Linked DNA regions of Caenorhabditis elegans. The protein of the gene in region 3 interacts with the protein of the main gene of each other region in a biochemical or structural test. Each region holds a gene or a part of one and is shown on either strand. Other genes may lie near its edges. The genes, in order: mpz-1, lin-7, vang-1 and stn-2.

Region 1 (5,016 bases), on a different chromosome or scaffold from region 3:
TTTTAAGAAAAAAATGTTCTGGAATATTGAAAATGTGTACAGTAAGACTGGCATGATTTTGGTGTACGTAAAGTGTACGTCCGGTTTTCCAGCAATAGTGTACAGTAACCATCCATAACCGAACTCATATCGAAACATAATCTACCAGTTTCGAGCTGATTATCCAAGGTCTCAAATCATCGAGGCGACCAGCTTCTTTTTTTTTCAAAAAAATCTTTACTTAAAATTCACATTTTGAAAACTATCCATTTGTTGGAAAAAAGCAATTCGAAAAATAGGCCAAAAAATCCAAAATTAGGGCAAACCTGAAGGTGACCTCTGCCTGCCTCACGCCGAAAACGCCTACGCATGACTGTTACGCCGACATTAGTTGTAGAGAACAAATTTCTAGGGATAATTGATAAAAGTTCTTTGGGGAATTATTAAACTTGGAGGCGGAATGAAAAGTGCTGACAGCATATAGATATTTTTAAAAAATGTTAAACAAAATACTGTACGACAGAAATGGAAAAAATTGTCATAAATCAGAAAAAACCAGAATCTGGAAGTACACGACGTCTATTTTTCTATTCCTCCCCGGAGTGCGAATGTGATGCATTTGTGTGTGTGTATTTCTCTCCATGTGTGTGTGTGTGTTTGTGGATAATTGAGCTATCGTCTTGCGTTGGAGCAGAAAGACGAAAAGAAGAAGAAGAAGTAGCAGATGAAGAAAAGAAAAGGAGTTGGCGGCGGAGGAGCTGCCGCGGAGTAGACGGACGGAGAGGAAGAGTAGGCGTGCTCTGTGTTGGTGGCTAGTAGCATCTTGAGAAGAAGAAGAAGAAAAGACCAGATTTATCCGATTGATACGGGTGAGAAACTGGTGAGAATCGATGTCCTGTGGAAGCCAGGATTGGTTTTTGAGAAGTTAGTTACATATTGGGTGAGAAGGTTCAGGTGGAAACACCCGTCTTCGCGTTCTACTGAGGCGCGACAGAATGTCACCCGTCACTCGCCTGTAAAATGCCTTCACAAAAAAATGTAGCCAAGCTTAGAGGAATGCGAAAATTCTAATTACTTGGGTGAAGCCTGTAGGTACCGTATGGTAGAAAATAGTATGACAACCCTAAATCAAATCTATTGAATCTTTTGTTGAAAGAAAACAAAAAGATACGGCAACTTATAATATTATTTTCCAAAACTATAAACAATGAAGCAACTGTTCGGAAATATTGTTCTTCCAGAAAGGAAAACGGGAAAGTTTAGGTTTTCTTCCAGATGATGAAAGGTTTCAGGTAAGCTCCCGGAGCCCCGATGCCAAAGCGTTCGGATTGTTATCTCAATAATACGGTCCTTGGTCTCGACACGACAATTTTTTCAAATTCAAAAAGGTATGCGCCTTTAAAAAGTACTGTAAATTCGAACATTTGTTGCTGCGGAATTTTCATCGATTTTTAATACTTTTCTTTCCCATATATACATTGTTACAGGCGTTAAAAAATCGATCTGCAATGAGAAAAGTTTGTGGCTACAGTACACTTTAAAGACGCATACCAGTCTGAAATTAACAAAAAAATTATCGTTCCGAGACCGGGTACCGTATTTTTGGAGTAATGGGGTTATTCAAGTAATGTAGCAAAATGTATTAAAATACATTTGTGACGTCACAAATGTATTTAAATACATGTTTTTATATACTTGAATAAGGTTGTGACGTAATTTTTCTACACTTTTTAATTTTCCGACACTACTTGAATAACCCCATAACAGTTCTGTGTACAGAAAAATCATTATGCTTAAATCAAGTTTCTATTTTTTTTAAGTTTTTCTGTTTTTTTTTATACTTCCGAAAACAAAAGCGAAAAGGTGTTCTAGCGTAGTTCCCAAGAGTCCTTAAATTCATCTTTCTCCTTGTCTACTTCAACTCTTCCGAAACGGATGTAACATTGAGCCGGCTCCGGGACCCCCGCCCTTCTCTATGCACCTTTTTTCCCACCAAACAACGTCCACTTGGCACAATGCTATTTGTATAGGAATCAGGGAAAAGGGCTTTTTCGAAAACTTTTTCGACTTAGTTTACTTTTTTTTCTTTTTTGGGGGTGCATGATGCTTCAAGTCATGATGCACCATGTCTATAATATGAAGAAAAATGAGGCAAGAAAGGAGGGAAAGTGTATTAAAAGAACAACATATGGTAGTGGTACTACACAAAGAAACATTGGAATAAAGATGGGACCAAGGAAAAAAACGAAGAAGAAAAAAGATGAGGAAAAGTATAGAGGAGATGCATAATTAGAAGAAGAAGCAGAAGAAAAGGAAGACGTCTCCTTCTGGACGGGGGGACACCAAAAATGGAGTACAAAATGAAGGGTCTAACTATATTATTGAGACATTGCATTTCCTTCGTTCTATTAAAATATATTTTCCCCCTTTTTTTGCCGCAGCTTTTTATAACCAAACTTATAACCAGCTTTATTTCATCAATTTTAACATACAAATAATTTTAAAAAAACAGCCTAAAAACGAAACTGGCGAAAATTGACTGAAAATGTTCGAATTTCTAGTTTTGCCGCCAATTCCTAACGAGACCCAACGTTTAGGGGCGGGGCGTTTTAATTTGGCAGTGGAGCGCGATCGTGCCCCAAATCAACTGATAAAATGTATGAGAAAGTTTTTCAAACAGTCTCTTATTATCCAATTGCGAATTTTAGCGATTTTCCCCAATAAAATTTGGAGGCTGCGCGAAAAGTGTGCGCGCCTTTAAATTGTACAGTAACCCAGCTGCGGCGTTTTCCATTTTTCTTCGATTTTATTCACTTTTACCAGAAGTTTCAGTTTTGTTTCTGAACAAAAAATATTTTTCTAGCAAGAATGTGTGGAAAAATCCGAGAAATTATCGAAATAACGGGAATCTGCGGGTTATTGTACTTATTAAAGACGCACATCTTTTTTCTCGCTTTCGAATCATTTTTTCTTTTCAGACCTACCTTCTTTCGGCTTCATCTTCAACTGCTATTATATCCTCTGGCTCATCGATCATTCAATGATGTATTCCAGATTCTGAATCACAATTAATTAGCTCGAATTTTAAGAAGATAAAAAAAATTTAAAAATCTGAATTTAAAATATACTAATATGCAGGATCCTGGCCAAGACGTGTTTCGGAATGAATGAATAAAAGCCAAGCGGCATGTGCTCCAAGATATGAAATCTCCAGGGGCCATCTATAAGGCTCCGCCCATGTTTCCTTTTTCTCACTAATCTCATCTTTGTTTCTTTGTTTTTAGAGAGTTCAAAGACTTAAAGACAAGTAGGGTGTAATTTCATTTGAACCCCCTATCGCATTTTCTAACAAGAATAAAATTTGAATTTTCAAAAAAAAAGAAAAAAGTAATCGTAACGTTACTGTGGGGGAATGACCATTCAAATGAATGGTGAGAATAAAAGGGGAAAGGGGTATCGGATAAGAATGGCATACAAGTGATTTCGGGGAAATAATAAAAGTCAAGGAGCAATGGTCACACAAGCCTCGGGGACAGGAAGATGATAATGACGATTTGGGGGGAAAAATACACCTGTGGTAAATGGTAAATCAGTATGATACAAAGGATCTGGTCGTAGTTGTGGATGGTGATTACGGTAGTTTCGGTTGTTGTAATTACAAAAACGAAATGAAAAACTACGGGTGAAAACATGAAAAATGTAAGAGGGAGGGAGCTGAGAGCAAGCAAGAAATAAACCATCAAAATACACCGGTGAGCATCTGGAGGTATGAAGCTCGGAAAAGAGTGAGAACGAATTATTTATCAGTCGGAGGAGAGATTCGAGTTATCAGTTACACGGGTGCGGGGAGTTTCAGATATCGGTGACACGATATGAAGATGTTTTTGAGCGAGGTAGTTCCTTTTCCGAATGAGCAAATCCGGTAGCCTGACGGCGCATCGACGTGTTTCGTCCGAGTATGTTGTGTCGGCCGCCGAGGAACGTTGTCGAGGTGAGGCGAGAACTGAAATAACTAACAGGATATGTTAGATGTAGAGTGTCAATTTGGCATTAACTCATGGGAAAATATGGTCAATGAATGAGGCAACACGCCTTCAAGATCCGGCCGAAAAGAAGATCTACTAAAAGAAGATCTACTAAAAGAATATCTACAATGTGAAGATCTACGGCTTCAGGATCTGGCACCGTGCCAATTAGAAATTTTCGTGGTTTTCTCGAAGAAAAACGTGACAACAAAGGAGCATCATTGTTAAGTTTTTCTTCGATAAAACTACGAGTATTTCTAGTTGACACGGTGCCACATCCTGAAACCGTAGATCTTCAAATTGACTTTTCGGACAGATCTCGAAAACGTGTTGTCTCCGATAAATCTGTGGGGTGCATTGACGTACCGAATTCCTCGCTTTGGCGTCGATTCAGATTCGCTTTGGCATCCAGGCAATCCGCCGACTGACGTCATGTTTGCGAGAGCTGCTGGATCACACGAAACTCTGGGAGACTGCAGAAATGTCGTGTTCTCGTCTGAAATTAGTGAATCAAATACAATTTCAGAAGAAAAAAAAATAAATTTTCTAAAAACGCACTAATTTGTCCCAAGTTATTTCGACTCTGATTTCTGCCAAAGCCCAGCGTGGTGGCAAGTGTGAGTTGAGCATTACTGAACGCTCGTCGCATTCGACTCTGTGACTGTGGTGGTGGCATAAACGACTCATTGTGTGACCATTCCTGTAATAAAAGTTTATATATAAGCATTCAAGTTAGGTGTAACACTGTGGACAATTTTAATTTCTCCACTCATGTATCAAACTTCATTTCTCACGTTTTGTGTAGATCGTTCACTGACCGTAATGTTCATCTGACTGCCGTGTCCATATTGTGGTTTCGCTCCGCAAAGACTGAAATTTTGATTTTTTCTAAAGACTTGAAACCTGAAATAAGCCTACTTTCTAAAGTATCGAGTTGTCATATCCGAAACCATCGCATCGTTGATCTCATTCATATCTGATGGATCCGACGAGTAGAAGAATCTCCCACAAT
Region 2 (5,231 bases), on a different chromosome or scaffold from region 3:
ATTTTTTAAATTAAGGTTTTTTTCTAGTCATTGAAAAAAATTGAATTTTCGAACAATATTCACAAAATTTTTTAACTTTCTTTTTTGAAAATCGGGGTTTCTCTGAAAAGCACTACAAATCAAAAGTATACAATTTTTTTGTAAAAAAAACACCGGAAATTAAATGCTTTGAAAAACTTTGAAAAATAGGAAAGTGCCGATTTTTTTCCGAAAAAAAAAACTGGAAAATCGAAATTTCTCGTTTTTCCATTTACAATATTTCTAATTTTCAAAAAAATTGGGCGCCCAAGGACAGACTAACTTTAAGCCTGCTCGCTGCCTTATTCGTCACTTTAATCTCTTGCTCGGTGAGCATCCGATGAGCCTGTCGGGTTACTGTACAAGCCATTAGTCTGCCGATTTTTTGTGTGAGCATTTCGAGAAAATTCTGAAAAAAAAATCTGAAAAAAGTTGAATTTTACATCAAAAAGATAGATTTTCGTGATTTTTGAAACATGGAAAATATTTTTTTAAAAATGCCGAAAAATGAAAAAAAATTATTTTAAAAATTTAGTTATTAAAGATACATGGAGAAAAGCACCTATTTGAAAGAACGTAAGGCAAAGCAAGATTATTAAAGCAATTTTTGGGCAATAATTTGGGGAGAGGGTGAGTGTTGAGATTAACATTGTTTTGGAAATTTGTCTGAAAACGGAAAAAGAGATAATAATGTACATATAGGGATATCTAAAAATCTAGAACAAAGAATAGAAGAGAAGAAGTTAGAAATGAGTATACATGAACTGGAAAAAAATAGAAAAAATAGGGATTTTATGGTGGAAAATGCAAACTTTTCAGCGAAAATTTCAGTTTCAAGAAAAGATCTTTCAATATTGCTACAAAAGTTCTATTTTCTCGGCTAAACTAATCAATGTTTGCAGAAAAATGCGAACTCTTGCAGTAAAACATTGAGGCCACACGAAAAGGGGAGCAGAACGAAAAGGGGATCTGCAAAAAGGGGATCTGCGAAAAGGGGAGATACGAAAAGGGGAGCAACGAAAAGGGGATCTGGCACTGTGCCAAGCGCTATTTTTCTCGAAGAAAACGATACAACGATGCTCCGATGTTACGCGTCGCGTGTTGTTAAGCGTATCTTCTAGAAGAAAATTTCAAAAATCAACGTGCGTTGCGTGAGAAAAATTGCGTTTTGTGCGTTTGGCACAGTGCCAGCTCCCCTTTTCGTTGCTCCCCTTTTCGTATCTCCCCTTTTCGCAGATCCCCTTTTTGCAGATCCCCTTTTTGCAGATCCCCTTTTCGTTTTGCTCCCCTTTTCGTGGGGCCTCAAAACATTTTGATGCAAAAATTTTAGAAATATTGTTTTAATGTCCATTATCTATATTACGGGAGCACATGAATGCGTATTGCACAACATAATTGACGCGCAAAATATCTCGAAGAGAAAACCACAGTAATTTTATAAAGTACTACTGTAGCGCTGGTGTCGATTTACGGACATCATTTGAAAACATAAAAAAGACAACAAAAAAAAAAACGAAAAACCAATTCGAACACAAATTTGTATAAAAAATAAAAATATATTTTTTTGTTTGTTTTTTTGTTGTCTTTTTTTTGTGTTTTCTTTCGATATTTCATCGATTAATAAATGATGTCCGTAAATCGAAACAAGCGCTACAGTAATATTTTAAAGAGTTACTGTAGTTTTCGCTACGAGATATTTTGCGCGTCAATTATGTTGCGCAGTACGCATTCTCGAAATTTAGTGTTCCCGTAACATTTAGTTTTGTTGTGGCTTTTTTCGTATTTTTTCCAAAAATTCTCGAATTCTTGATTTCTACAAATGTTCCGTCTTTTTTATCTTCGTGGATTTGTCGAAGAAGACGGCGTCGGGAGTGTTGGACTCTGCTGAGTGGATCGAATTCTCTGTCTTTCGAATCTCCGCTCCATTTCATCCAGGAGTTTCGGCATATAACGGATCACTAGCTTTACACTTCCGACTGCGGATTTCAGAAGATCAACTGCTTTTTCGTGGCATTCGGCTTCCACGTTCTGAAATTTTTTTAAAGTTATTTTTTTGAATCAAAGTTTTTTTTCTAATTCGAGTTATATTCTTCTACTAATTAAAAGTGTAGTTGTTTTCAATTTTAAAAAATGAGAATAAATTGTTCATTTTTTCGAAAAAAAATATTAAGAAAAATTTATAATGTTCTTTTATATGGAAATCTTCGTAAACCGAAAAATTCTGTCTTTTATTACTGGTTCCTTTACTTTTTTCCGGTTTATTTTCTGAAAAACACTAAAAATCTGAAATCTTCGATAAAAAAACACTTAAATTAAAGTAAGTTTCGTTTTTTGCTTAAAAAAATGAATTTTTAGATTTTTTTTTCATTGAAAAACATTGAAAAATCAATATTTTTCGATGTTTTTTTTCCGAAAAAAACTAAAAAAAAATTGAATTAAACATTTAACCCACCACTCCGTTGACCGCAATAAGTTGATCGCCTCGTTTGAGACCTCCGTGTCTGTCGGCTACGCCACCAGGGATTATTCTGCAATTCAAATCGTTTTTTTTAAATTATAAAATCATTAAATATTTTTATATCTGCACCTGGAGATGTAAATCGGTGAATTTTGCTCCTTGCCGCCCATAACATTGAATCCAAGCCCTTGATCGGTTTTTGGGAGCTCAACGATACGTGGATGCGCGTGGCCTTCGGCTGCAGCAAACGCCGCCACTGTTGCTTTAGCTGTTGCGGCGGCTTTTATCTGAAAAATGTTTAGTGTTTTTTTTTGTTTTCTGTTGTTCAAAAACGGCTCAAAATTATTTCGAAAAATAAAAAAACTACAATTTGAAATTTCGACAACTTTTAATTATCAAGGTTGGCGGCAATTGTCGCTCGGCTTTTTTTTTGCCAAATTCGGCAAATTGCCGATTTGCCATAATTTGCATTTCCGGCAATTTGCCGATTTGCCGAAAATTTTGATTTTCGCCGAACTACCGATTTTCCGGAATTTTTTGTAGGGATTTTCATTATACGGAAACACTTAAAACTGTGCCTTTTTGAATTTTTTAAAATTTAAATTTTGAAAATTCCAAAAAAAATGTGCAAAACCACAATTTGCAGATATGGCGGAAGTATTAATTCGGACAGTTTGCCAATTTGCCGGAATTATCAATTCCGACAATAAGCCGATTTTCCAGGAATTTGAATTCCGGCAATATGCCGATTTGCCGGAAATTTCAATTCCGGCATTTTTGTCAGTTTTATCAAAAAAAACTGAACCTCTGGCGTTGTATCCGCATCAATTGATTCATAAACAGTCTCATAGACCTCTCGGACGGCACCGAAAAATTCGGATTGTAGCACCTGCTGCAGCGATGCCAATTTTGCATTATTGACCTCTCCAGTCTTCTGAACGTGCTCCATGAGCTCTAGAATACGCTGAACGTCCCGCTCCAAATTCGGACCATCCGGGTTATCCATCTGGAAGATTTGGTTGGAAAGGAGGGGAAAAATAGGACGGAAATAGGTAAAAATGGCAAGAAAACCAATTAAAAATTACAAAATTAAGCTATCCAGAGCGGAAAAACATTATTTACTATTCTAATTGACCATAGCCCGTCAGAAAATTATTAAACACAACAAAACCAAAAAAAAAATCGACAAAAAATTAAATTTAAATTTCATGTCGCAGCGTGTGCTTCTGAGACAATTCCAGCGGAATCACATTGAACGTCATTTTGTACAAATCCACGTCTTTCCTATACTCGTATCCCTTCATCTCCTCAATTTCATAGTCCGGATCGCATTTTTCCTGGGAGATACGAACGATTCCGTCGCAATGGGCACGCAGAAGACGTTCTCCGCGATCGTTTTCATAGTAAACCTGAATAACTTCTCAATAATCAAAGATATTTGATAATAAATCTTACATTTAACCCTGGATGATAATTCATTTTGAATTGATTCACCAGCAAATCGTCTTTTCGCACAACTTCTCCGTCTTTCCGGAAAATTCCACGGAACGGGAGATTCTTTGGTGGTCGTAGAAGTCCGCGAATTTGTTGAAAACTACCGGTGAATCCCTTGAGGCCCATCTGAATATTTAAATTTGAATTTAGATAATTTTAATTGTTAAATTATAATTTTGAGTTGCATTGCATCACTAGAAAGATATTTTATTGAAAATTAACGTTTTTCAGCATTATTTAATGCTTTTTAACGATTTAAACAATTTTCTCATTTAATTTATTGATAAAATATTGAGAAATGTTTAATTTTAAGCATAAAATGAATAAATCCTGCTCCGGAAAGTCCGATAAATGCTTAATTGTTTTGGAGACTACGGTCAACATTTTTTGTACGCAGTACGCAACGTGTACTGCAGACCGTAGTCGAGAAAACCTGCGCATCTAACTGTCTTCCTCGCGCCAATTTTGTTTCGAAATTTCTTTTTTGGCTGTTTTTCGTGTTACTTTTTGCCGGATTTTTGCCGTTTTTATATGATAGAAATATTATGTTTTGTGTCAAAATAGGTAAATTTTCCATATAAAACCTGATGATTCAAAAAATTTTGTGAATTTGAAGTCCAAAAATGTGGAATTTCAAGCCGACACTCACGAAAAATTTTCACATTGTGCATACGTTATAGTTTTTAGAATACAGAAAAAAACAATATAGTATTTCTGAGTGTCGCATTTTTGAGTGGTTTGTATATTAGTATATTTTCTTGCAATTTAAATGTAATTTTCGAACTTTTTTTTCGAGATTGGAACATATTTTTACCTTCTGCAAAAATATTCTGTTCTTTTTACGTTTCCCGAACTTAATAATTGTTTTTCAGAACCAATCCAAACAATCCGCAGCAATGGGAAAGCGAAAGTCGAAGAGAAAGGCTCCAACCAAGGCAAAGGCTGTAATGCCACTCGACACCCAATTCAACTGTCCGTTTTGCAATCATGAACGCGTTTGTGAAGTGAAAATGTACTTTCTAAGGAAAATCGTTTCAAAAAAAAACGTAATAATTTTCCAGGGATCGCGAAAAGAATGTCGGTTATATCTCGTGTCGTGTCTGCTCTGAAGACTTCCAAACAAACATCAACTACCTCTCCGAGCCAATCGACGTCTATTCTGATTGGGTGGATGCCTGTGAGCAGGCAAATAACGCCTGAATATTCCCCATCCGTCAATCTTAAATTCTTATACGACCTCCTTATAAGCCTCCAAAATCCC
Region 3 (7,212 bases):
TCGATGCCTACAGATCTGAGAAATTGACGCGACGTCGGATAGGAATGCAAAACACTGATTTCCGTCCGATTCTTCATTTGCGCGGAGAAGATGATTGGGTAAGTCAATACTTTTCAATTTTTTAGATTTGAATCGGTTTTCACCAATACTGTTTTCAGCAAAAACAAATCAATGACAACTTCTCGCCCAACCAGTTCATGGATGAGAACGGTATTGTATATGATATGGATCCCACGATCAACGACAGAATTTCCACGTTTTTCAATAGTCAGAGAATCACCAGCAGTAGATTTGGAAGGAAGAAGAGAAGCTTGATGTTCCCGAGACTTTTTGTGTAATCCAACTTAAAACTATCTTGTTCGCATTTTTTTTCATATATCCGTTTCCTTCATTTTTCATAGCGTACTCTCGATTTGACATGTTCTCTCTAGTGATGTGTTACGGGTATTTCCTGATGTACATCTAATCAACATGCTAAGTCAGTCACACTCAAACAAATATACCACCTCTGATCTCATAAAAATGATTTTTCTTTCCATGATGTATTTTTTTTCTTTTTTTAAAATCAAATATACATAATAAATAATCACTTTTTTATTAAGAAAAACTTAAACTTGAATAAATTATTCATATCATATTGAAAAGGTACCAGACCATAAGTCAATGTGAAGAAACTTAAAGAAAAATAAATACTCGAAGAAGTAAGTGACGCAGCGCGATAGAGATGTCAAATGTCAGTCATTATCATCTCGGTCAGATGAGGAACCCGTACATAGAAACAGCATGATGTAGAATAAAAGTTGAAGAAAAGAAGCTAACAGGTAAAAAAAATTTTTTAAAAAACTGATCAAATCAAATGGGCATTTTTTTGGAAGTTTACTTGATGGCATGATGACTAGCCCACAAATCAAACTGCCGACTCATTGCTAATTTTTAAGGAAAACTTTTCATTTCCAGGTTTGGCTTGCTCGGTCAAATTGAAGAACGGAATACTCGAGATGGTGCAAACAAGTTGAACTCCGCAGTCGATATCCTGAAAAAAGGTAATATTAAACGGTTTAGCAAGTCTGAGAAGTAACTGTTTTTTTTTCGAGCGAAGTTTGAGTGAATCTTTTCAAAAATTTTAAAAATTTTGATGGCGGTTTCAAATTTTGCTTGAGATGTACCTAAGTCAACAAAATAGCGTAAGATAACTTACCGAAATTTGCAATATAAAATCATTCAAAGGTACATGGGTTTAGCAGAATAAAATGATAAAAATTTGTTGCCAATCGGCTTTAAATAATGCAGAAATACCAATTTTCGGATTTTATTCGTAATATTTTTTGTTAAAGTGTTTTTGTAATGCTCTTGCAACCCTACCGACCGATCAAGCATTTTTTTTTGAATGCAAAACTACTGGAGGAAATATGGGACATACTACTGCTATGGTGCCAAAAATGCCAAATATAACAGAAAAACGTTTCGAACAAAATTGAATTATTTTTTCAAAAAGTGACAATTACTCAGTTTTGCCACTCATAATGTTGGAAGTAGATTTAAAAAGTTGTTTCTACTATTTTGTTTACTTCAATTTTGTTTTAAACATTTGTGTTCGAACTTTGTAAGTGTCCGAACATGCGAAATTGCTCTACATTTTTTTAATGCTTAGACTTTTCAAAAATTTGGCACTTTGCCAATACGTTGTAAAATTCAAAAAATCTTTAAAAAATTTTGGAGTGTTTAATTATGATATTCGGTCGTTTTAAATGTGTATTTAGCTTCAACATTAACTTTTCAAAATCTTACTGGGTTGTGCGATTTGAGCACTAGATACGTTCCGTGTTGAACTCCAGAGCTCACCGCCTCGTCGCAAATTACCGACCATTTCGATTCCCCGACAATTTCCCGTTGGGGAATACGGTCACTGAAGAAGCGTTGGAGAAATGTTCGATGAGACAACTTGAGTGTTAGGCATCTGAAATTTGAAAGCTTAATCTTTGAATTCTGTTTATTAAAAAAAACGTACCTTTCAATGTGCCTCGTAACTTCTCCTGAAGGATGTCTTGACTGAAGACGAGTAGTTTTTAAATATTTGGTGAGCGGCCGGACAATCCATGTGAATACGTTTTGAGCAGCGGTCAGTGAGTCCATCTGGTTGTTAATTCCAGGCTTTTGGTTCGTTCCGGACTCGGCAGTGTTCTGAACATGGGAGAATGCGTCTTCGGCGGCGGCAATTAGGCGATACCTGTAAAGATTTTATGAGTTTCGAAAAGAGGCCATTTTTAAAAGCTTTGAACCGCCATAATTTTTTTTGAACAATTTTCAGAACTTCTCAATAAAAATTTCCTTAATTTTAGGCCATTTTGTGTCCAAAAAATCATTTCGCTACCTCAACTCTAAAATATAATTCCAACAGTTGTGACAGGGAAAAGTGGACAAAATTTGAAATTATAGCTTTGAAAAAAGTAATATAATATTTAGGAAGTTGAAACAGCCGTTTAAAAAAAGTTTTAAACTTTTTTGAGAAGTTTCATTACAAAATTTGTTCAAAGTATCCAAATCGTTAGTTCTGAATTTGAAAACACTTACTTTCTCTTCTTTAACCGTTTTTCAAAATCAAGTTCTTCCTGCATCACTTCAGCATATCCACCAATCCTTCTTCTCGCCGCGGCTTCCATCAAAGCCCGCGTGTTGACTTCACTAACAGTTTCCTGCCCTCCAAATTGCTCGATATTGTACATCTTGAAGCCTGCGGTGCCTCCTTGCATTCCAGACTGCTTTGCAACCGCCGTCTGTCTGGCGTTGTCAAGGTGAATGTTGAACGAGGAGAATCGAGTTGTGTAGAAACGAAGAATCTCGGTGGCAGCTTCTTGAATTGAGCCAGCGCCAATGTTCAATGTATGCATTTCACCGTCTGGATCGCGAACAATAGTTACAATGAATTGGGCACGTAGACGACGAAGCTCGAGGAGCACAACAGAGAGATAATGTGTCCATAGAAGAGCGTCGAGCAGTGATGTGGAATAGGAAACCTGAAATTATGAATTATGATTTCACAATTTTTTTTCGAAATGATTCATAGTGAAGTCGAACAGTATACCCGCTTCTGAATTTTCGCTACAAATTATGAACTTAAAAAAAATGGTTCAACAAATAAACTGTTGCCTAAAATTTTGTCCACATGATAACACAAGTTTCAACATTTTAAAAGACTAAGTTACAGCGGCCGACACCTCGCGAGCCAATTTTTTTGCCACATCTCATGACTGTAACTCAAGAATGAACAGTTTTCATGAGCAAAGTTTTAGTAACAAATAATCCGCAAATAATTTTATATTGCATGTTATCAATCGTTTTTTCTTACGCAATCGGTAGAATTGAAAATTTCGGTTGAAAATCTGGTCATTTTTTTCAAAAATATTTTTAGGCATTTATTTTAAATAACTAATGTTTACACTTTTATTCACATTTGAACTGAAAGTTTTAGAACAATTTAACCTCCATTTTCAGAAATTGTTCACGATGAGTGCCGGCATTGCTACACCTTTAAAGGGACGTGGCAAAAAAAGGACTTACGAGGTGCCCGATGCTATATCTTTTGATTTCAATGACTTAATTTATTGAAACCTGAGTTATCAAGTAGACAACATTCTAGGTAACAGTTATGTAGTTGAATTTTAATTTTTAGGGTACCTAGCTTGTGCGCTATACTAATTTGAAACTATAAAAAAAGCCAGCAAAAAAATCCCAAAAACGCATATACTTTTGGCCACCACTGTGTTTGAAAAAAAAAACCTACGATGTACTTGTAGTTGTCGTATCTTTCAAACATTATCCTGACAATGTAAAAGAGCCAAAACGCGAACAGGATAAACATGACTAAAAATGTAAGCGCAGCTCGTACAAAGTACAACCTGGGCATGTCTGCCATGGCTTTCCTCCAATAAAGAACTCCAATTGCAATTACCAAAAAGATTGTTTTGATTGCCATTAAAAACAGGAGTCCTTCACAATCGACCTGCAATACATTATATTTTTAATGCGATATAATTGGTTTTCGAAATACTCACGTCACATTGAATTGCCGGCATGCTGAAGCCGAAACGTGGTGCGATTATAGGCAATGAACACATTATCGGCGCACTGACCACCGATATAATGCAAAGTAACGACGAGGCCAACAGCCAGACAAACCTAGAGCACCTGAATTTCAATAGTTATAAAAAGTGAAATTAGAAAAAAAGAACATTTACCGTCTTCCTATGACACGTCCAATTGGTGGGGTATAAATCACTTTTTCTTCCATTGTGAAAGAATCCGTCGTCATTCCAGTGAGCACGGTGGTGTTGTCTGCCCAGTCTTCGTTAGGTGGTGCAATCTTCTGGCCCTGCAAATGAATTATAGATGTACTCAAAAATAGATTTTCCAAAAGTGAAAACGCAAAGCGATAAGATATGTATATCGACTCGGCGTTTATGACATTTTAAATTTTAGATAAGATATTTGGTCGGCTTATATCTTATTTTGACACATCTGAACAAAGAATTTAAGGAGTTTCAGAAACTGAATTAAAAACGAATTTCGTAATAAAACTTCTAAAAAATATTTATGGGAGGTTCAATATTTCGAAAAAAAAGACGAATTTTTTTAAAAAATTCTCAAATTTTGGCCACGTTTCCGTGACACAGCAGTTTTTTTGTTTTTTTTTATTGAATATTTTGGTTGTTTATCTCACGGTATTTCATTTATTTATGTTTTTTAAAAACTTTACCAAATCTCTTCGTTCATCGCCTTTAAAATAATTAAATAAAGTTGAAAACGCAGGATAATTACATTGTATACTCAAAATTTTACGGAAATTTCAAAAAAAAAGATTCCAGCCGCAACGACATTGACGAGTAGGACAAATTTCAAATTTTAACTAATTTCAGGCCTACTTTTTAAGGAACTTTTTAAGCGAATAGATAATCAAAAATTACCTGAATTGGTTACCTACTGGCATAAAAATTGCCTGCTCAAAATGTGAAAAAATTAACCCTTTCTTTAAATTTTAAACCGACTAAAAACATTTTGAACACTGTTGAGAAGTTTCATTACAAAAAAAATGTGTTCATTTTGAGCACATATTGGTACCCAGAGCCGTTACTCCTCATTTAATTGAGTTTCATTTTAAAATGTATCTTCAAAAAAAAGGCTTACCTCACTAGCAATTGCAGAAAACCTCGGTATAAATGGCTCGCCAATTTCAGATTGTGCATATCTTGGTCGTAGTTGCTTCTTGTGTCCTTCATACCGAAAACCTCCAACGCAACTCCTCGTGTCTTTCGGAAGTTTCCTGTTATCTTGATACGACATGTTCCACCTGAAAAAAAAAATCTCTCCAAAAATTTTGATCCATTGAAAAGAATGAGATTTATAACATATTATATTTCATGTAACAAAAAAAATCCGAACGGAACGATAGATTGGCAAAGACAATTTGTGAAAAGAGATAAAACGAGCCCTTCGGGTTGCGCACACGCCGTCATAACATTTTCGTTCCACACACACACACACAACCGCAAGTAAACGATCCATCCACGATCAATGACAAACGAGTGGACGGAAAAGAGGGGACCCCGAAAAGAAAATAACCTCTAACACATTATGCAGCGTCCTCCTCTTTCTCCTTCCACTGCTTGCCCCAGCGCAACCCATTCGGCCAGTGTGTGCGTATGTGTGGTGTGGTCAGAGGCGAGCGGGGAATGGGAAGAGGAATGGTGAGTGAGCGTGCGTGTGTGTGTGTGTGTGTGTCTACTACTATCCGCTAGGCCGCACCAGATGCGGGGCTTTTCGAAAAACGGACCCCCGGACCGGAGCATCTTTCTTGTCACCCCTTGGAGCCGGTTTTCATCTCCCAATGGTCGTCAATTACATGCGACACTCATTGGTGATTTCAAAGAGCGGATTTGGGTAGAAGAAAACCGAAAAGTAAGATTTAGCTGACGGGCTCCTTATTTTGTGACGAAACATGTATCTATTTTAGGTACTTGTGTAATATACCTAGCTCAAAAATATGTTTCAATACGTTTTCCATTCATTTCTTTTAAAAATTACAATTTAAACAAAACGTGAAATTGATTTGTATTCTTAGGTTTAGAAAAACATTAATCCTTATGGACATAGTATAGAACATAATTACGTAAAATTTTCAAAATGATTAATATTTTAAATCCAGGTATACTTTCACAAGTACCGCATTTTAGATAGCTGAGAAAATCATAAAATAAGAAAATATGGCAACCTGGCAAGATATAAAGCTTTAGGACTATTGAAAAAGTTGAATTCTAAACAGCTCGGTACAATAAAATTAGCATCAATCCGTCAAGAGGTGAACGAAAAATGGAAAGACGACAAATCAGGGGTGTGCAGTAACAAAGATGAGTGGGGTGAAAATGGTGTGAGAGGCGAAGGTGTGCGCGCGCAGACACACCACTCCAAAGAACCACAACGGTTACGTAGATAACACAACAGTAGTGCAAATGGTAATTTCATTGGAGCACATTTGCAAGTGTAAGTGAAAATTGGGATCTATGCATCGATTGTTTAGTGTGACAATCGAAAGGTGCTAGAATGCTTCAACCGTAATTTTGTCAACGTTTTGTTGTTCTAATATTTATTTTTTGGTACTTGTGTAGCAGGAGCAAGCGACAAATTTGCCGAATTTGTCAAGTTCACCATTTGCCAAGCTCGGCAAATTTCAAAACAGTATGTTTGGGGAATTTGCCGAGCTCGGCAAATTTCGAAATTTTCCGCACACATCAAAAGTTTGAAAAACAATTTTGACTAAAACTACTGATTTTGACCTCAAAAATTTCAAAAAAATGACACACAAACTCACGGAACTTATGCAGAAACCAGATGTTTTTTCTGAACGCAGTAGTTTTGGTATGGAATAAATTGAAAAAATTCAACAACTCATTTCTAATGTATAACTTTGTTAAATCACAAAGAAACACTTTTTTTTCAAAAATTTTGTTATGTCTCTAATATGAAATATAGCATAAATAGGTATACATTTGTCAGAAGTTTGTATTCAAGAGTAAAAAAAGCCCCTCAGGGAAGGCAAATATCATAGTGAAAAACTCTAAAATGGCGGAATTGAAATTACCGGCAAATGGGCATACCAAAAAACTGCCAATTTGCCAAATTTGCGCGCAACCTCGGCACTTGCCGTAAGTTTTTGGCAAA
Region 4 (6,399 bases), 4.8 Mb from region 3:
GAAAACTTATTAGTTTTCTTTGAGTAAATTTAATTAGTTTTTTTTCTTCAAAGACCACATAACCAATTTTTCTGAAAAAGTTATGTTTAGATTTTCCAATGATAAAATACCTTGTTGACAAAATTTAAAAATAACAATTGATATCATCAACAAGGAACAGTCGATACATAGACACATTAGGGATTAGGACCGTAGACACCACGGGGACTGTACTGCGTACTATGCGCTGGAAATGACGCGCAATGGAGTGCAATAGAGACCAGCATATAACTATTTCAATGAAAATGGGAGATTACTTATTTAATAATCGGTATTTAGGTTTTATAATCTCACATTTTAAAAAATAAACTAATTTTTCCATCAAATTTTCCATATTAATAATACGTGATACACGTGTTCCTCTTCAAGTTTAAGTGGTTTTCCAAGAATAAAAATGCAAAAGGATTTCGAACATTTCCATTTCTGATAAATTAAAAAGGTGTTATGATTCACAACAAGGTTTAATAAATAACAAAATACGTGCGTACTTTGAAAACAGTTATATATATCTAATTTTTAAAATTAAAGTTCATGTATTTTGTCGTTTAATTTTTGACACTATATGAGCGGGTTTAAACAGTTTTCCTACTGAAGGTACTCCGTTTTTAATTTATATAACAAGAAGAGCTACAAAACACTTTGTGGTTTGTTTCAAGCAGAGAAAATGTGATCACACATATGTACTCAAAGAAAAAATCACAATTTTAGTCTCTCTTGATGACTCAGTTGACTAAAGGCAAAAAAGTCAGCCTCGTTTGCACAACAACGATTGTGAAATATATTCCGTTGCCTTTCTTTTTTGCCAGTTGCGGAACATTTTCATATGTGTTTGCGCCGCCGAAAATCGTCCATCATTCGAAATATGGAAAGCGAAACGATGTGTCTTTGTATCTTCAAAACGGCATTTCTCAATTGAAGCTCAATGGCTCATTGACATTCGAAGTGAAGACACAGTGTAGGGTCACGGCGCTAAAATGCGTGTTTTCCCATTGTTTTAATGGGGAAAAAGGACAATAAGAGTAGAAAACGGCAATTCGTCAAAATGATTGATTATATTCATCAATTAGTTTGCAGGAAACAACATGCAGAAATGTGGAAAAGATTTCAGTGAAAGTTTCAATTAGTTTGGAAAATCACTAACTGTTGAATATGAATAAACAAATGGAGAAAAAACAGGGATGTTAAAATTTTTATCAAAAGTCACTCCTCAAAAAGGTATTCCGTTGCGGGGAATCGAACCCCGGCCTTATGGGTGAGAGCCATAAATCCTAACCACTAGACCACAACGGAGATGGGTGAGCAATGGTCGCTGCTTAATGATAAGAGTACAGAAAACTTTGTGACTGTGAACAATGTGTAGAAAATTTTATCAGTCAGAAAGCAGCACGCGAAGAAATTGAGAAAAATGATGGTTGCCTTTCCGGCAATCTCTTTGGCAACAGTTCCAGAATTTCAGCTCTTATTTTATATCTTTTAATCAGTTTTCAGACTATGATCAAAACTTTGTTGGATGTTAAAAATATTGGATGACTCGTTTCTGATATTAAAAATTCAAACCAGCTGTTTATCATCTTGTTTCTCACTTCCTTCAACTGCTCGTTTTTGCTGTTCGTCTATGATTCCGCATCTTTTGCTGTTGTAATGTGTGTATTACACCGCTTCCGATGAGCAGATAGGATAGATTGGAGCTCGGGCGCTTCAAAGTTGACTCGTGTGAGGTGGCACACACACACGCATCTTTAGTCCCTCTAGTTCATTGTCCTTCATTTTTGCTACATTTTATATTCTCTGTTAAACAAGGCTAAATGTCCGTTACGAAATCACACCATAATCTGGATGTGGTAAGTTTAGCAAATATTATGAAATTGTTGGTTTTTAATGGGCATGTTTAATTTTTGTATAGTACATGCCAGCAATCTGAAGTCTTATGAAATACAAGACTTGACAATATGTTAAATGAAACAAATTCCAACAAAAAATTTCAGGTTCATCATGGAATAGTACTCATTAGTGATGGGAATGCCACTTCTAGATCGTCACGACTGCTTTTATCCAAAGGTAAGAGGAAATTAAAATGGAACTTGAAATAGAAATAAAATGGAACCATCAATTTTTGAATGTATGCATTTTTTCCACACTTCTCACATGGGGCCTATAAAAGCCGCACAATTTGCGAAAGCGAGAAGGGCCTGAAAAACGAGGAGAAATGGGGGAGAAAAACGAAAATAAAAGAAAAGTGTGCAATGACGGCCTCAACTAGTCGTGTGAAAACTTTATTAGGCAGCTCATGGCGCGGAAATTGGTGCCTAGCCTACAATTGAGTTGTTGAGAAAAGAGGAAAAAGCTGTCAGGGTCCCGCATCTTCGTTTTTGTCTTGCGCTTCCTTTGCGCTTTTAAAACTCCAAAAAAAATTTGGTAGAAATGACATGAAAATGGCATGAAAACTATATAAAAAGTCATCCAAAAAAAGAAATATCGTAACATATTCTTGCAGATGAGTTATGTATTCAAGTCATTGACGATGGTACCGCGGAGCCCGAAGAAGCCAAAGAAACATTTCTAGAAAATGCAACTCGGCAAGTTGTCATAGTTAAAAAACCAGACTCGGGGTTCGGATTGTCTATTAAAGTGAGCAATTGAACAGGACCGGTGTAATACTTAGAACTATTGCAGGGAGGATCAGAAAATGCACAAAACATGCCAATAGTAATCTCCAAAATATTCAAAGGATTGCCAGGTAAATCGTCAGATTTAAAATTTTAACATCTAGAAAAATACTTAAATTACAGCCGACGAATGTGGAGAGCTATTTATTGGAGATGCTATCGTAGAAGTAAATGGAATATCCATAGAAGGTGAGGGAAGAAAAAGAACGAGTAGTCTTCATTAGTCCAATCATTTGGTTCCCCTCTGGGAAATAGGAACTGAAAACGAATGAGCGTTCATAGCAAAGACCAAAAAGTTAAACTAGTTTTTTTTTAAATAATAGAAATAAAATGGAACCATCAATTTTTGAATGTATGCATTTTTTCCACACTTCTCACATGGGGCCTATAAAAGCCGCAACAAAATAACTTTTGGCAATTCACGTTCAAAAATTTAACATAAAAATTTAAAAAAAAAAAACAAAGTTGTATTGAATAATAAAACAAGTCATATGCTGTACTTTCCCTATTATACTTGCTCCTTCTCTGTTGGATGGGTTATATATGCCGTCCTAAGTTTCATAACAAATCAATTTTTTTTCAGTTGCCAATTAAAAAAAAACCAAAAAGAACTAACTAAGATATAAGCTGTCAAAATCAAGCAAGGGCATGATGGTACAAGTCTAATAGGGAAAAAAAACGGTAGACTATTTTTTCATATCAACTTCCAGGTCAAAGCCACGACGAAGTGGTTAACATGTTAAAATCAAGCGGTGACCAAGTAACTTTGGGTGTCCGCCATTTCACCCATATGACGCCGTTTCTAAAGTGAGTTTGGTTTTGTGGCGAAAAAAATTTGCTACTCAAGTCAGTCCCATGCATCGCCTTTCTTCCTATTTCCCGCTTCCTTTTTCGATTTTCGACGTGGCGTTACTTTGGCGAGAGGACACACAAAAAAAGTATGGTTGAAAAGAGTGGAAGAAAGAAGCATGAAAAAGAAGGAAAAGGACGAAGAAACATGAGTAGAAACAACTGATGGATTAGAGTGTAGAAGAGCTCTGCGCAGGGGGTGGTTTGAGGCAAAGCACGCGGAGCCTTACGCCATCCTCCCTGATGAATGCTTTTCACTGCATTTGAAATTCAAAAATGTGCGCAGTAGGCAAACTGCCGAGGGACACACAATGTTTTGCGCAGAGTATATAGTTGCATTTGATTTTATATCGGGGTACCAGAGACGTTGGAGTGACTACTTTTCAGACCAGCACAGTCATTGCAACCCGATGGAACATTGGATCAGCTGTTTGATGGAAGAAGTACAAGGGTAAGAAAAAATCCTAAGCTTCCATTTTGAAATTATTTGGAGTTTTTGCTTCAGAGCCACAAAGCGCAATCCGAATCCCGACTCTCCGACTCGAAATGGCAACAACATATTGACGGACGGGAAAAGAAATGGAAAACGTTGACGTCTCTTCCGTTGGCAATGGCTTATGTCACCAGATACCTCTGGGGAACCGACAATATCAGGTTTGCTTCAGATTTTATTTTCGTAATGAATACATACAACGGGGAGCTTTTTGTATTTCTTGTTCAACAAAACTAAAATTTTACAGGACAAACTCTTTCGAAGTTCGTGCAGTAGATGGAAGATCGTCGGGAATTGTGCATTGCGAAGATACATCGGCGCTGGAACAATGGATCTCGCACATCAGCAAACATATATTGTCGCTCAACCAAAAGAGTATAAAAATGAGCAACAAGTACTTGCATCAGAGTGAGCAGGTCAGTATGCAATGATATGACTTCAATGTTTGGTAGGCACGTTTGGTTGCCTTGAAACATCTGTTAAAAATACGACATCGGAATTAAAAATTAAATGTTTTCAGCACACATCAGATTAATGATCCAACATTACTGACTATGAAGCCGTTTTAGGTGTCCAGAGAATTATGGGTCGAATGATGTATTTTCTAAAAGCTAATACAATGGAAATTACGAATTCAGAATAAAACTTTGCTTAATCTAATTTTGAGGCAATTATTTTTGCTTTTGTCTGCTCGATTTAGGATACTTGATGGAAACATTGTTGTTTTTAAAGCCGACTATCTTGTTGAAAATTGAATATTCAAGAAAATAGTCAACTAGTAAATCTACTAACATTATGCACGGTTTTTGCAGTAAATAGTTTAAATTAATGTTTTTTAGATCAGCTACATTGGTTGGGTGAATGAATACTTGAATGATGATGATCAAGAAGAGCTTAAAATCCGCTGGCAACCTCGCTTCTTGATTTTAAAAGGCAGTGATGTCTGCTTCTTTGATGTTCCGCCGGTATGTTTTTTTTTTAATTTTTGAACTTATTTTACATGATTCTTTTTTTCCAGCTAAACTCTGAAGATCTCAACAAATGTGTCTACTTGTACAAATGTTATGATGTTGCTGTAAAACAGGTAGATTATCAAAAAAAGTAGTAATTCTAGAAGGGATATCTACAGGTCCCAAACTCTAGTCCACGAAGAGATAAGCGTGACAATTGTTTCTTAATAGAAACTCCATTGCAAGTTCCAAATCACTACCTGTCATTTGAAGCTGTATCTGCATTTGAACTTTTTGAGCAAGCATATTACCGAACCGTATACAATACCATTTCCCAAATGCAGGCAAGTTTATTTAAATTATTCAACAACAATAACAGTTAACTTTAGTCCCGAACGTTTGCCTGTAACTTTGAAGGAAGAGCCAGTGGAATCGTTTTTGACATTAAACAGGGAATTAGTCTATATGATATTCCTACTAAGGTAATACTATTTCTAACTGTTATTGATATTGATACAATTTATTTCTAGAGTTACATTTGGCAATATCGGTTCAGAGATTTACAAGCCGTTGCTGATGATGGCAAACTGTGTGTCCAGTTATCGTTCAATGATGATCGTTCATTGAATTCCGATAGAATAGAAGTAAAGGTTAGTGGTTTTGCAACTTTCCGAGTCAAGTACTCAAATTGCAGGACATCGAATGCGAAGATGTGGTAACAGTTGTATTCAACCTTCATTCCTTTGTTCTTGCCAGAATTGTTTCCACTGATCCAGACTATTTGAAGGCTAATCGTTATGTTGGAAATGCAGAGGACTAATGATTTTTGATTTTCAAAGCATAAATATTTTTTTGTTGTTGTTCAACTGTTGTTTAAAACAAAATTTGAATCATGAGTTAAAGCTAGGTTTTCAACATTTTTTTATTTCAAACTAAAAATAAAAACAATCTGCATGCCGTAGTCTACCTGTAACTTATGGACCAGTTTTGAGTCATATGCAAAAAATCAAAATTTCATTGAAAACATATGACTTTTTTCAGGTTTCTGGCACAATCAAATTGTCAATTTCAAAAATCCTTTATTTCAATAATCATAAATTCTAATTCTCAAAGAATTATATCGATAACAAGATAAAGACACGCGATGAGTCAAAATCAACCGGTTTCTGTTTGCCGTAATATTGCACTTACAACAGTACTCGAAAACTCAAACAAAGGTGAAATAACAAAGTAAAGAGTTGCCTAATTCAAAGGCTCAATCTTCTTCGTCTCATATTTCTCGAATGGAACCATTCTCACACGCAATATAATCCACGCACTAATAAGGACTACCAGCTGAAATCGTTTGGGTTTCTATTGAATTAACTGCAGCAATACTCACGTTCACAATTAGTATCAACCA

The links.
Region 1: the proteins of vang-1 (region 3) and mpz-1 form a complex in vitro, tested with the Caenorhabditis elegans proteins (one study listed by BioGRID).
Region 2: the proteins of vang-1 (region 3) and lin-7 form a complex in vitro, tested with the Caenorhabditis elegans proteins (one study listed by BioGRID).
Region 4: the proteins of vang-1 (region 3) and stn-2 form a complex in vitro, tested with the Caenorhabditis elegans proteins (one study listed by BioGRID).

Annotation. Positions count from the first base shown.
Region 1 is NC_003280.10:10,775,111-10,780,126, forward strand, and holds the start of mpz-1 (PDZ domain-containing protein), read right to left. Parts: upstream 3,017-5,016; coding exon 2,964-3,016; intron 1-2,963. Other genes in the region: ect-2 (Protein ECT2), read right to left, coding at 3,832-3,982, 4,371-4,500, 4,563-4,704, 4,799-4,874, 4,923-5,016.
Region 2 is NC_003280.10:14,345,311-14,350,541, forward strand, and holds lin-7 (Protein lin-7 homolog), read right to left. Parts: upstream 3,483-5,231; coding exon 3,282-3,482; intron 2,764-3,281; coding exon 2,606-2,763; intron 2,547-2,605; coding exon 2,471-2,546; intron 2,047-2,470; coding exon 1,852-2,046; 3' UTR 534-1,851; downstream 1-533. Other genes in the region: Y54G11A.9 (Core domain-containing protein), read right to left, coding at 302-415; Y54G11A.17 (L51_S25_CI-B8 domain-containing protein), read right to left, coding at 3,676-3,885, 3,932-4,096; elof-1 (Transcription elongation factor 1 homolog), read left to right, coding at 4,867-4,982, 5,032-5,170.
Region 3 is NC_003284.9:2,883,997-2,891,208, reverse strand, and holds vang-1 (Vang-like protein), read right to left. Parts: upstream 5,352-7,212; 5' UTR 5,338-5,351; coding exon 5,182-5,337; intron 4,370-5,181; coding exon 4,236-4,369; intron 4,186-4,235; coding exon 4,053-4,185; intron 4,001-4,052; coding exon 3,782-4,000; intron 3,015-3,781; coding exon 2,572-3,014; intron 2,228-2,571; coding exon 2,009-2,227; intron 1,958-2,008; coding exon 1,789-1,957; intron 1,034-1,788; coding exon 908-1,033; 3' UTR 528-907; downstream 1-527. Other genes in the region: B0410.3 (Neuropeptide-Like Protein), read left to right, coding at 1-98, 159-338.
Region 4 is NC_003284.9:7,675,970-7,682,368, reverse strand, and holds stn-2 (PDZ domain-containing protein), read left to right. Parts: upstream 1-1,749; 5' UTR 1,750-1,844; coding exon 1,845-1,880; intron 1,881-2,024; coding exon 2,025-2,097; intron 2,098-2,533; coding exon 2,534-2,667; intron 2,668-2,712; coding exon 2,713-2,776; intron 2,777-2,828; coding exon 2,829-2,894; intron 2,895-3,415; coding exon 3,416-3,512; intron 3,513-3,941; coding exon 3,942-4,005; intron 4,006-4,059; coding exon 4,060-4,208; intron 4,209-4,294; coding exon 4,295-4,463; intron 4,464-4,886; coding exon 4,887-5,012; intron 5,013-5,065; coding exon 5,066-5,131; intron 5,132-5,176; coding exon 5,177-5,341; intron 5,342-5,386; coding exon 5,387-5,479; intron 5,480-5,527; coding exon 5,528-5,647; intron 5,648-5,691; coding exon 5,692-5,817; 3' UTR 5,818-5,858; downstream 5,859-6,399. Other genes in the region: mfsd-8.5 (Major facilitator superfamily (MFS) profile domain-containing protein), read right to left, coding at 6,240-6,332, 6,379-6,399.